Nothobranchius furzeri: one gene and its partner. The protein of the gene in region 2 interacts with the protein of the main gene of each other region in a pairwise test. Links are inferred from orthologs where the notes say so. Each region holds a gene or a part of one and is shown on either strand. Other genes may lie near its edges.

Region 1 (4,896 bases), on a different chromosome or scaffold from region 2:
CTTAACACTGCGGCTGCCCGTATCAAAGGGTCCCCCGAGGGGCGCAGTCGAGCGCTTTCTCCAAATCCACAAAATACATGTAGATTGGTTGGGTGAACCCCACGCACCCTCCAGGACCCCCTAAAGCCGGGCGTACACTGTGCGACTTTTTCACTTTTTTGAGCCGATTTTCCAGTCGTGCGAGAAGCCACGACATCGGGGCGAGTTTTGCGCCGAGCGGTCGTGTAGTGTACAGGGGGTTACGAGAGGCGATTAACACCACGTGACCAGCCGCCGATCAGCAGTCATGAGGTCGCAGGGACTTCTGGTGTGTTTAATATTTCGCTCGTCCCTCGTGAGGGTATCGCACTGTTGAAGCGGCGCTGCGAGCAGCTGCGAGCAGCTACGATCCAAAAAGTATCAGAACCGCTCACGGCGCATGCGCGCGCGATCCTGCATCAACGCCGGCCGGTCGCTCGCTATTTCCATAATAACACACGCTGTGCGTTTTTGTTTCTACACGTTTTTTTTACTCACAAAGATTGTCAAGAAAGCGTGTTTGTCGTGTTCATGTCAAATTAAACTGATCACAAAACACAGATTTACTTTCTTTATTTCGTTTCCTCATCCAACCCCCATAAATCCCTGTGTGTCCTCCTGCAGCATGCCCGAAGGACAACAGGCAAGACAAAAAAGTCTGACGTGTTGAGTAAAAACTGCTATTTTTAGCACATTTTTAGGGCCGACGTGTTGCTACCAGACGTACAGTGTGAGCAGTCAGGTCGCATGCGAGAACTGGGTCGTGCAGTGTGAGCACACGACTCGTGAGATCTGCTCTGCGAGGAAGTCGTACAGTTTGAGCTGAAGCTGAACGCTGCGAGTGAAAAAGTCGCACAGTGTACGCCCGGCTTAAGGGTATAGAGGTGGCCCAGCGTTCCACGGCCAGGACGAAAACCACATTGCTCCTCCTGAATCTGAGGTTCGACAATCTGCCGGACCCTCCTCTCCAGAACCCCTGATTAGACGTTACCCCTGTAGTTGGAACACGTCCTGCAGTACCCCTTTTTAAACGAGGGACCGCAAAATCAGAAAATCCTGAATCAAACTGAAATCGCTATTCAATCTTTCCTTAAACTCGTTCAGCCCTAGTTTGCATAATAAATTTCAGAACTAAACTTTCTGGTAATGAAATGTTTCTGTGTTAGAGCGTCCTGATTTTAATGATGCCATTATCATGAGACGAGGAGCATCTGTAGAACATGTGGTAGGTAGAGCACACTGGCACTGTACAGATTCAAACTGAGCATTCAGTGTTTAAGTAAATTTGAAGGTCTTTAATTGTTGTTGTTGTTGTTTTTACCTACAGTGCCACAGAATCCACAGAACCTTAGCCAGCCAGTTCAAATACGCCCTGGTGTGGGTAAGTGAGGTTAAACCTTCACTGGTTTCTGTTGTTCTCTTGGAGCTGTAGATCAACAAACTGTTACAAATATTTTCTGTTTACAATGTTCTGAGGTCAACAGGGTTCAGGTTTGAAGAGAATATATTTTGCAAAACTCACCTTTTGCAAACCATCTGTCTATTTTCTGTAAGTGTTTGGATTTAGGAATTACATGCCTGAAACAAGTCGTTTAAAAAAGTTGCCGTTTGTGATGTCACAAGAAGGGTAATAAATTATAGAACCATGTATCACCTGTCTACACTTGAGGAGCAGTGGTTCTACTCCAAGCCTCTCCCAGATATCAGAGCTTCTCAGCTCATAGTAGCCAAGCAGGGAAGGGGTGGGCGTGGCCAGCTCTAGCTTGTTGTCTTAAAGTGACAGAGCCATGAAACGGCTCATTCTGGAAGGTACTGAAAATGTGCTCTTGGTTATTTATTTATTGCAGTTTCAAATTATTAAGACCTCATGAACACGAAGACATTTTATTCGTTAAAAAGTACAAAAACAATGCTGATGAATTTCCTTAAGCAAATTAGCGTGAATACAAGTTTTGAAAATCATAAAATCAAAATTAGGTGTCTCTAAATAAAAACTGGTCTATGTTGAAAAGAATAAAATTTTATTGTACAGGAAAGCAATGTCCCCTTACGATGGTGCGGGGTCAAAGTTCACATCAACACAAATATTAAAACTAAACAAGGAACTAACAAAAGAATCTTGAACAATCCCACATTTCACTTCCTTGCTTTTAACACAGTTGGTGATGGGAGTTTTAAACGGCTAACTTCCTAACCTCCTATAGCAGCTAGCTTTGCTGCAATGCTGAAGTTAGCTTGTGTGTTAACAGGAACAGCAATTGCGGATTAGATTTTTGACGTTTTTATTTCTGTTCTCTGTAACAGAGCTACAGCTGATGATGTTGTATTATTCTAACTTTGCTTCAGGTTTTGTAAAATTACTGTTAAAGCAACACTTAAGTTCCCAGCTTCTCCCTCCTTCTGGTTGAAAGCGGAATTGCAACTGCCAAGCAACCTTGCCGCAGCCTGCTGTAGCTAGAGCTAACAATAAGCTAATGCTAACTCAAGCCACAAATTACAAAAGATCCACACTGGTGGACAATATTATTACTTACAAGTCCAGCAACAAAGCCAGGTCACCATCAGTCCGTGATTTCATAACCTCCTTCAGCGCCCTCAAACGAGTGTAGGCCGCGCCGATGTTCACTCTGGTTTTAGTTCTTTGCTTCACCTCCAAAACATCACTCTTACTTTCAGGCTCCATCACGATGCCAACAAAAAGAAAAGTCTTCTTCTTGTGTTTTATCTTTTTTTTTTTATTAATGATCGGCAAACTGAAAGAGCTAACTGTTAGCCTTTATATGAGCTTCTGGCACAGCTGTTGCTTTAAAGCAGGTAGAGACCTCCCACTAGTGTTCCTACCCGAACTGTTTAGTGCAACTTCTGGTCAGCAGAGGGCGACAGAGTGCTGTCCAATGGGAAGTAGCTCTGGTTTCTGGCTCAAGAACCACTAAAACCAGTTTGAAAGCAATAACTTAAAGAGCAAGTCACCCCCAAATCAACTTTTTTTTTGCTGATAAACTATATAAATCGGTGTCTGATCGTACTGTAGACAGAAGTCATCAATAATTTGGTGCTGTAGTGCATCTTTGTTAAAATATAAATATTCTGCCTTAAACTGTCAGTGTTGCACCCTCTTCAGGTAAAAACTCTGCACTGCATTTTCATTTAAATCTGCCATTGCTATTGGCTAAGAAGTATCAAATCTCATCAGCTGGTACCATATGATGTCACAATGTCACTGTGAGCTTGTATTTGTTAGCAGCTCCGCCCTCTCGGTCTGCTAGGCAACAGCATTTGTTGCATTTTTCAAACAGGTAGTGGGAGTGGAGTAATACTCTGGGAGGAGGTGACTGGGGACTGCACACCATCAGAAAATGTAACTCCACCCCTAGTCAACATTTGAAAAATGCCATGAAAGTGGGCGTTGCCAGGAGGCAGGAAGTGGCATGGGCAAGTGTGGGGAATTTCCATCCTGGGAGGGAGGAGGAGTGGGAGGAGACTGTACTGATGGCGTGAAATTGTACCAGCCCCAGTCGATCACAAGTTTAAAATGCAGTAGCCACTGTTGTGCCACAGGGGGCAGCACTAAGACGTTTTTAGACCTAGATTCTAGATCTAATCAAGTTTACACAAGCATGTCAAAAAATGCACAGAAACGGAAAGATTGCATTTGTAAAAACTCAATTATACAGCTAATTAGCAAAAAAAAAAGTAATTTTGGTGTTTAGTTACTCTTTCAAGTGTTAAAATCTCTTTAGTGTTGCTTTAAGTGGCCCTATCCCTAAGCCACCATGGGGCCACACAAACATTTGGAAGTTTATTCTTTTTGCCATGCAAAACTAGATGAATAAGAATAGTGTAGACCTCTTTTTGTTGACAAATTGTCAAATTTCTCTCTGTTCCTTTTTTAAGAAAGCATTTTAATGAAACAGATTTACTAGCAAAGCGTTTCATCAGTAGTTCTGTGTTTTCTCTCCAGGGAACCAGTACCAAATACAGTCCTCAGAGGGTGGGCCTGACACACGTCATGGAGCACGAAGACGTCATCCAGATTGTAAAGAAGTGAAGAACTTGTTGTGATTGGACCGGACCGGCGTCAGAGGAGGAACTCTGTGCAGTAGTTATACAGCAAAGGAAAATAACCAACGTCCTTATTTTGTATAATAAGTTTAACAGTAAGTGGAAGAAAGGGAACGCTGCGGAGCAGATCCTGGACTGAAATCAGTTTATGTTACCGATGATTTAGAGAAAATGGGGAAATAAATTCCACATTTTAAAATAACGATGGGCTGTTTTATCATTCAAACACATCACCTGTTCAGCACCTGTTCCCATCCGTGCTAGCCTGCTGTTTGTTACCCCATCTCCAAAGCGAGCGGCCGCTTTCCTCTCGGAGCGAATGGCTCACACAAACACAATAGTGGTATTAAATATTAACGAGCACCTCTTTGGTCTGGGAGAGGGGCTCTGAGTGGGAGGCTTCATCCGAGACGCAGAGGAACTGGAAGTTGGACCTAAAGATGTCGTAATGATGTCTCGTCATTGGGCGTCGTGGATGAAGAGGTTCTGTTTCGGAATAACCTGAAGCGGAGCGCAGAGATGGAGCGTTCTGGAGCAGAATAACAAAGCAAAGGTACAGCAGGCTGGGTGTGTGTTGATCAGAGTTGGCCTGACACTTGATGCTGCTGTGTGTGTGTGTGAGGTCAGTAAACAAAAGCTGGAAATGTGCGTTTAGGAAGCAGTTTTTCTTGTTTTGTTATAAAACAGGGTTGGCCAACATTTTGTTTCAGAGATTATTCGATTATTCGTGGAACAGCGAGTTGGCACCTGGAAAACTTTCCTTGAACTCCTGTTGGTGGGTCAGAACTGAGCAGCATAAACATTTCTGCCAATAAA
Region 2 (5,629 bases):
ACTTGAAAAAAGTCTGACAGATCTACACTGTCACTTAACATTCATGGAATCACCCACCTTGACTCATGACGGGGAAGTTGTTGGTTTAGCGTCCAGCAGAGAACATCTCAGCTTGTGGAAGCTAACTGTTAGCATAACAACTTCACCGTACAGCAGAAGCTCCTACAGGCTTGTGTAAGTTGTGGAGATAAATTATCAACTTTACAGAGCAAACAGAGTCAGTGGTAGAGTCACCCTGCTGTTATCCAATCCAGGGTGAGATGTCCAATTATCAGGAAATAAGACTCCAAAACCTGCCTTCTGAAGCTTTTTTTTAAAACAAGTTTTATTTAACCAATGAAGCTTACAGGCTTACATAAGAATCAATATTTACAGTTGAATTCTGAGCATGACATATATATATATATATTACATCAAACAACATTATTAGGAGTAAAGGAAACATTCACCAAATTGTTATAGAGCCAAATGGCTTTCTTGGAACTACATGGAATCCATAAAGGATGCAAGTTCTTTAAATAAAAACAATAAAGATCGGTTTGATATTGCCAAATTTACATTTGTGTATAAAGAATTTGGCGAAAATAATCAAATTATTGACAGTGAATTGCTGCATTTTATTCTCCAAACTAATACCATACTTGATGTCAGAAAAAGATAAGGAGCGTATAATGAAATTATTATGCGTTAACCACGAGTGAAAACTATCCCAGAAAATTTTGGTAAAGATGCATGTGAAAAATAAATGTATCTCAGTTTCTATATTAGAAGTGCAAAAGGCACAATCGTTCTCTCCAATAGCCTTCTGAAGCTCAGTTGTGATGTGAGCAACTTTAGGTCCAGGAAATGGTGCACCAGATTTAAAAAATAATGCTGTAAACAAATAGTCTTTTCAGAAACATAAATAATTATTTTTTAAATGTTTTTTTTTAATTTACAAAAGATAAAAGTAAGTGACCCAAAACATCCAGCCAAAGTCATTAAGAACTGTCTTCAGCGTGAAGAACCAGAAGTCCTGGATGGTCTGGCCCCCCACAGAGCCCTGATCTCAACATTACATGGAGACAGAATGATGTGAGGAAGCCTACATCCACAGAAGATCTGTAGTTAGTTCTCCAAGATGTTTGGAACAACCTACAAGCCCAGTTCCTGCGACAACGGTGTGCACGTGTAGGTAGAAGAAAGTGGTCACAATAATTACTGATTTTTCTTTTGTTCACTCATTCCTTTTTTAATTGGTTTTTGAATAAGCTATCTTGTTTTATCATTTTCTGCTTTCTATTCTTTATTATTACTACAATATACTACTTTATTTATAATACAATCACACTGCAGTGCTTCATTGTTAGATGCTAAATAGAAATGATACCGTTGATTCTGTTTTAAGCTCAGAGAGAACAATCTGGTTCCACTCTTGTCCAGCAGGTGGCAGTAACGCGCCTTACGTAGGCCACAGTTTGTCAGACCAAATGTTCGATCCTTGATATCATCGATTGATAGTGAGTGGGTCCCTCGCGGTAGCGTTTTTGTGCCTGTCATGGTTCTATTGAAGACCAGATAACCTTCAGATACTCAAAAATGACGGACTACCTTGAAGAGCAAAGAAATGAACTTGAAGCTATAGAATCCATCTATCCTGACTCGTTTACAGGTTCGATCTTCGTCACGTTTTAATTTCTAGCTTCCAGCTAGCAGGCGTCAGCTAACCGATTAGAACAGCATTTTCCCGGTGTGTTCCCAGATATGAAGGCTAGGCTGACATAGGGGTTGTCCAGTTCCTGGGACTACAGTCGGGTTTAACCTACTGAACCCAAGACCGATTCCGTTTTTACTTCTGGAGTGTGTTTGAACATGCTAGTAGCTAAAGAACATCTGGAAGTTCCATGGTGGAACACAGAGTTAAAGCATCTATGTAGCTGCAATGTTGGAACGTTTAATTGTGGAGTGAATTTCAAACTTTAGTGTTTATCTGAACCTGTTGGTATGAGTTCATAGAGATTATTTCCTCTGATGTGCTCTCAGTGCTGTCTGAAGACCCCACCAGTTTCACCATCAATGTGACGTCAGATGCTGGGGAACACGGCGAGAGTGAGTACACCTCATACTCTCCTCCCACGCCCCCTAGCCTTCTATACCTCCAACACCTTTTACATCTAGCACACTTTTCACCATCACATCAAAACTCAGCTTTTGGATCACCTCTGCCAGTGTGCTGTGGCTACGATGCAGCTCATCACCACCAGAGTGAATGGATGAATAACTGTAGTGTAAAGCACTTTGGACTCATCTGGCTCAGACTGGCACTGTACAAGTGCAGGTCATTCATCACGTGTGATTGGGAGGTTTTGTTTCAAACGCCAGTCATTGAGTTTCTGTGTAAGGTGTCATAACAAACAGCTTTCTGTTTGTTACAGCGGTGGAAGCAACGCTAAGGTTTACATATGTAGCCAAATACCCTGATGAGCCTCCGTTGTGGGAGATCTACTCCCAGGAGAACCTGGAGGACCAGGATGCGGAGGACATCCTCACCTTACTGCAGCAGCAGGTCTGTCAGTACATGTCGCCTTCACTCTCTGTAAACGTTGGGTGTCTTCAGGAATGAGCTCAGACTGTCTTGGGGTGAATGGTAACTCTGCATATGAAAGGCTCAAACTGTTTCAGGTCATTTTTAGGTGTTTTAACATCCGGTTGTTGGTCTGATTTCATGTGATTCGTGTCACTCTTCAGGCTGAGGAGAACTTGGGGATGGTGATGATTTTTACCCTGGTGACAGCTGTCCAGGAAAAACTAAATGAAATAGTGGATGCAATGAAAAACAGGCAAGAAGAGGAACGACGTCAGAAAGAGAAGGAAGCAGAGGAAGCAGAGAAGGTAATGGTGATTAGTCTTATTTTAGATTAAGCAACAGGCACTGAGGATTTTCCTGTTCGACTTAAGGCATGACCAGATTTTTCATCCATCTCCCTGGGCTCAGTGCTGCTTTGATTTTCTGTTAATGGTTTCTCCCTGTTTGGTAGGTGGCGTTCCAGGGCACAGTGGTGACCATTGAAAACTTCCTGGCATGGAAAGCCAAGTTTGAGCTGGAGATGACGGAACTTAGAAGAAAAAGACAGAAAGAGGAGGAGCAGGCTGGAAAACCCAAACTGACTGGTAAGCCTGTTGGTCCAGATTCCCAGGATGGGGCTGATCAGGAGTCTCATTGATCAAACATTGTGTAGAATACTTACTAAAACCGTACTTAAGCTCAGCAAAAAAATGTATTTATGCCAAGTAGGTTTGTGATCTATCAAACTTGGAGTACACACAGCTGCACGCAATCTCCGCTTAATAAATCAGAGACTAACGAGAAAGGTTCTCAGCTGTTTCTGAGTCACATCCCGCCCTCAACACACCCACTTACTGCCTTAAATGGTCAATGCAAAGTGCCTTGTGGATCTCATGCATATACATAAGCCGGCTGTTGCAGCGCTCCGCCAATGACGATGGCGACCGTAGATCAAGGAAGCGCTATTTCACAGAAGCAGAAATTGAGGTACTTGTAGGTGAGGTGGAGAAATGAAAGGAAGTGCTTTTGCAAAACAAATAAGAGAAAATCCACGGAGTGGCACAGCGTTGCTGAAGCCGTCAATGTTGTGAATTTTTCAGAGAGATCTGTGGTGGAGATTAAAAAAAAGTGGTCCGATTGGGACTCGATCCCCAGACTCCTGCGTGAAAGTCACGCGCTAACCAGTTAGCCAAAGGGACATCCCCTTGTCCAAGTAGCCAGGGCGCATGATCAATCAGGTCACAGTGACAAGACACTCACACCGTCACAGACGCATGACATTCTGTCTCAATCTGTCCCCCTGCTGATATTCAGCATTCCGTATTCTGCGCTTCAAGCTGTGTGTGTGTGCGGGGGGGGGGGGGGGGTCTTGTTCTGTGTGAAAACGAAGCAGTACAAGTGATAATGCTGCAGGATTTCATAATTGTATCCTTCTCAGCAGCAGCACTGCAGGTGCTCTCCATGTCCAAAATGTGCGTAAGCCAGGTCCTTAGTCAACTTAAAGTTGCGCACATTTTTCCGCTAAGTTTTCTTTTATAAATCCTAGTTTGCGTGGAAAGTTGCTTACGCAGTTTTCCGACCCCGTTTTGTGCGTAAGCAAGCTTGATAAATGAGACCCCTGCTCCTCAGAGAAGTTTTCTCACTTCAGACCTGACATGTGAGCAGTTTCACGGCTGTAGTGAGTTCTCCATTTAAAAAGGTAACACATGTAGAGTGCTTGAAACTGTAACTGAAATTGATTGTAGCACAATGGTGTTTCCACACTTGCAGCATTTAGTCAATTTAAATTTACCTCCATGGTTCAGTTCTTCTGAACAAAGTTGTTTTACCAGGATGCAGAACAAAAGAACCAAACCAAGACCTGCTGGAGGATGTGGGCTGGGCTTGTGGGATCGTGATGTGACCTTGATGTGAAACAATGACGAGGTTTAAGCTGTCGTTTGAGCCAAATGAACTCCCGTAGCCAGGTTTGTGTTGCGTTCTAGGATGCAGGAAGCCACTTGCGCATCAGCAGCTATGAGTAGCTCCTAGCTAACTGGAGAAGAAATGGGGGCTAGCATGGACAAGCAACAAAATCCATCATCCTGACTGATATTTGAGCTGATTTATCAGTTCTGACTCAGAAAACACTGAAGAGTTAAAATATGGAGGAGGGGTGAGAGTGCGTCGTCCGTTAGTTCAGGATCTGAACACTCAACCTTCTTCCGGTATTTATTCATAGTAGCCCCGCCCCTAGAATCTAATCTGACCAATCAGCAGATTCTCATATTTCCAGTTCTGATAATGCAGCATTGAAACTGGTTTGACACCTTCATGTGTCGCCTTTCTTCACGCCCTAAACATCTCAGATGTGGACCAGGTTGACCTTCAGAGGGTGATGTGAGCTGGCACTCCAGCTCATCACAGTGAAAGCTCGGTTCTCTGCACTTCCCACTGTGACAACTCTAATCGAACGTCTTCTAAAAACAACAATCCAGTTGTCTTTTCCACAAACCAGTGAAAACACACCAGAGCTGACTACAGAAACACCGACACCAGAATCTGTTTGTCTTCAGGTAAACAGCTCTTTGAGAGGGATCACAACCTCGACACGTCGGATATTCAGTTTCTTGAAGATGGTAAGTTCTTCTTTAATTATTCACGTGCTGCAGCTGTTCAGCCCTTTTAAACAAGAAGGAACGGTTTTTAAATCCATTAAAATGATCTTTGCACAAACTCCAGCTCTCCACTTTAACCAGAATAAATATGTAATCTGCTAATAAAGTGCTGAGGGAATCAGCTTAGATCTGTTCCTGCACAAAGACCGGAGCTTGTCTTGTATCTTAATCTGAATTTGGCATAAAACTGTACGTTTAGGTTTGAGATAAGAAGGTGAAATAAATCATTTGGGTGGTGACTCTTCAGTATGAATGGAAGCTGTGTGGCGCTGGACTGAGACGGCAGCTGTTCTTTCAACACTTTTGTCTCCTGAACACATCACCTGTTCTTTTGCAGGAGGAAACAACGTAGAAGTAGATGAGTCCCTTTTCCAGGACATCGAGGACTTGGATTTGGACGAGGACGACCCAGACTTTGACCCGTTAG

What was found. The genes of interacting proteins can lie anywhere in the genome.
Region 1: the proteins of rwdd1 (region 2) and drg2 interact in binary tests that used the Homo sapiens proteins (3 or more experiments, as listed by UniProt). The link is inferred for Nothobranchius furzeri from reciprocal best matches to the Homo sapiens genes RWDD1 and DRG2.

The regions. Positions count from the first base shown.
Region 1 is NC_091752.1:63,806,098-63,810,993, forward strand, and holds the end of drg2 (developmentally-regulated GTP-binding protein 2), read left to right. Parts: intron 1-1,184; coding exon 1,185-1,243; intron 1,244-1,345; coding exon 1,346-1,399; intron 1,400-3,979; coding exon 3,980-4,066; 3' UTR 4,067-4,282; downstream 4,283-4,896. UniProt on the Homo sapiens protein: Catalyzes the conversion of GTP to GDP through hydrolysis of the gamma-phosphate bond in GTP. When hydroxylated at C-3 of 'Lys-21' by JMJD7, may bind to RNA and play a role in translation.
Region 2 is NC_091745.1:58,580,721-58,586,349, forward strand, and holds the start of rwdd1 (RWD domain-containing protein 1), read left to right. Parts: upstream 1-1,458; 5' UTR 1,459-1,578; coding exon 1,579-1,651; intron 1,652-2,022; coding exon 2,023-2,088; intron 2,089-2,414; coding exon 2,415-2,545; intron 2,546-2,727; coding exon 2,728-2,871; intron 2,872-3,017; coding exon 3,018-3,150; intron 3,151-5,100; coding exon 5,101-5,163; intron 5,164-5,539; coding exon 5,540-5,629. UniProt on the Homo sapiens protein: Protects DRG2 from proteolytic degradation.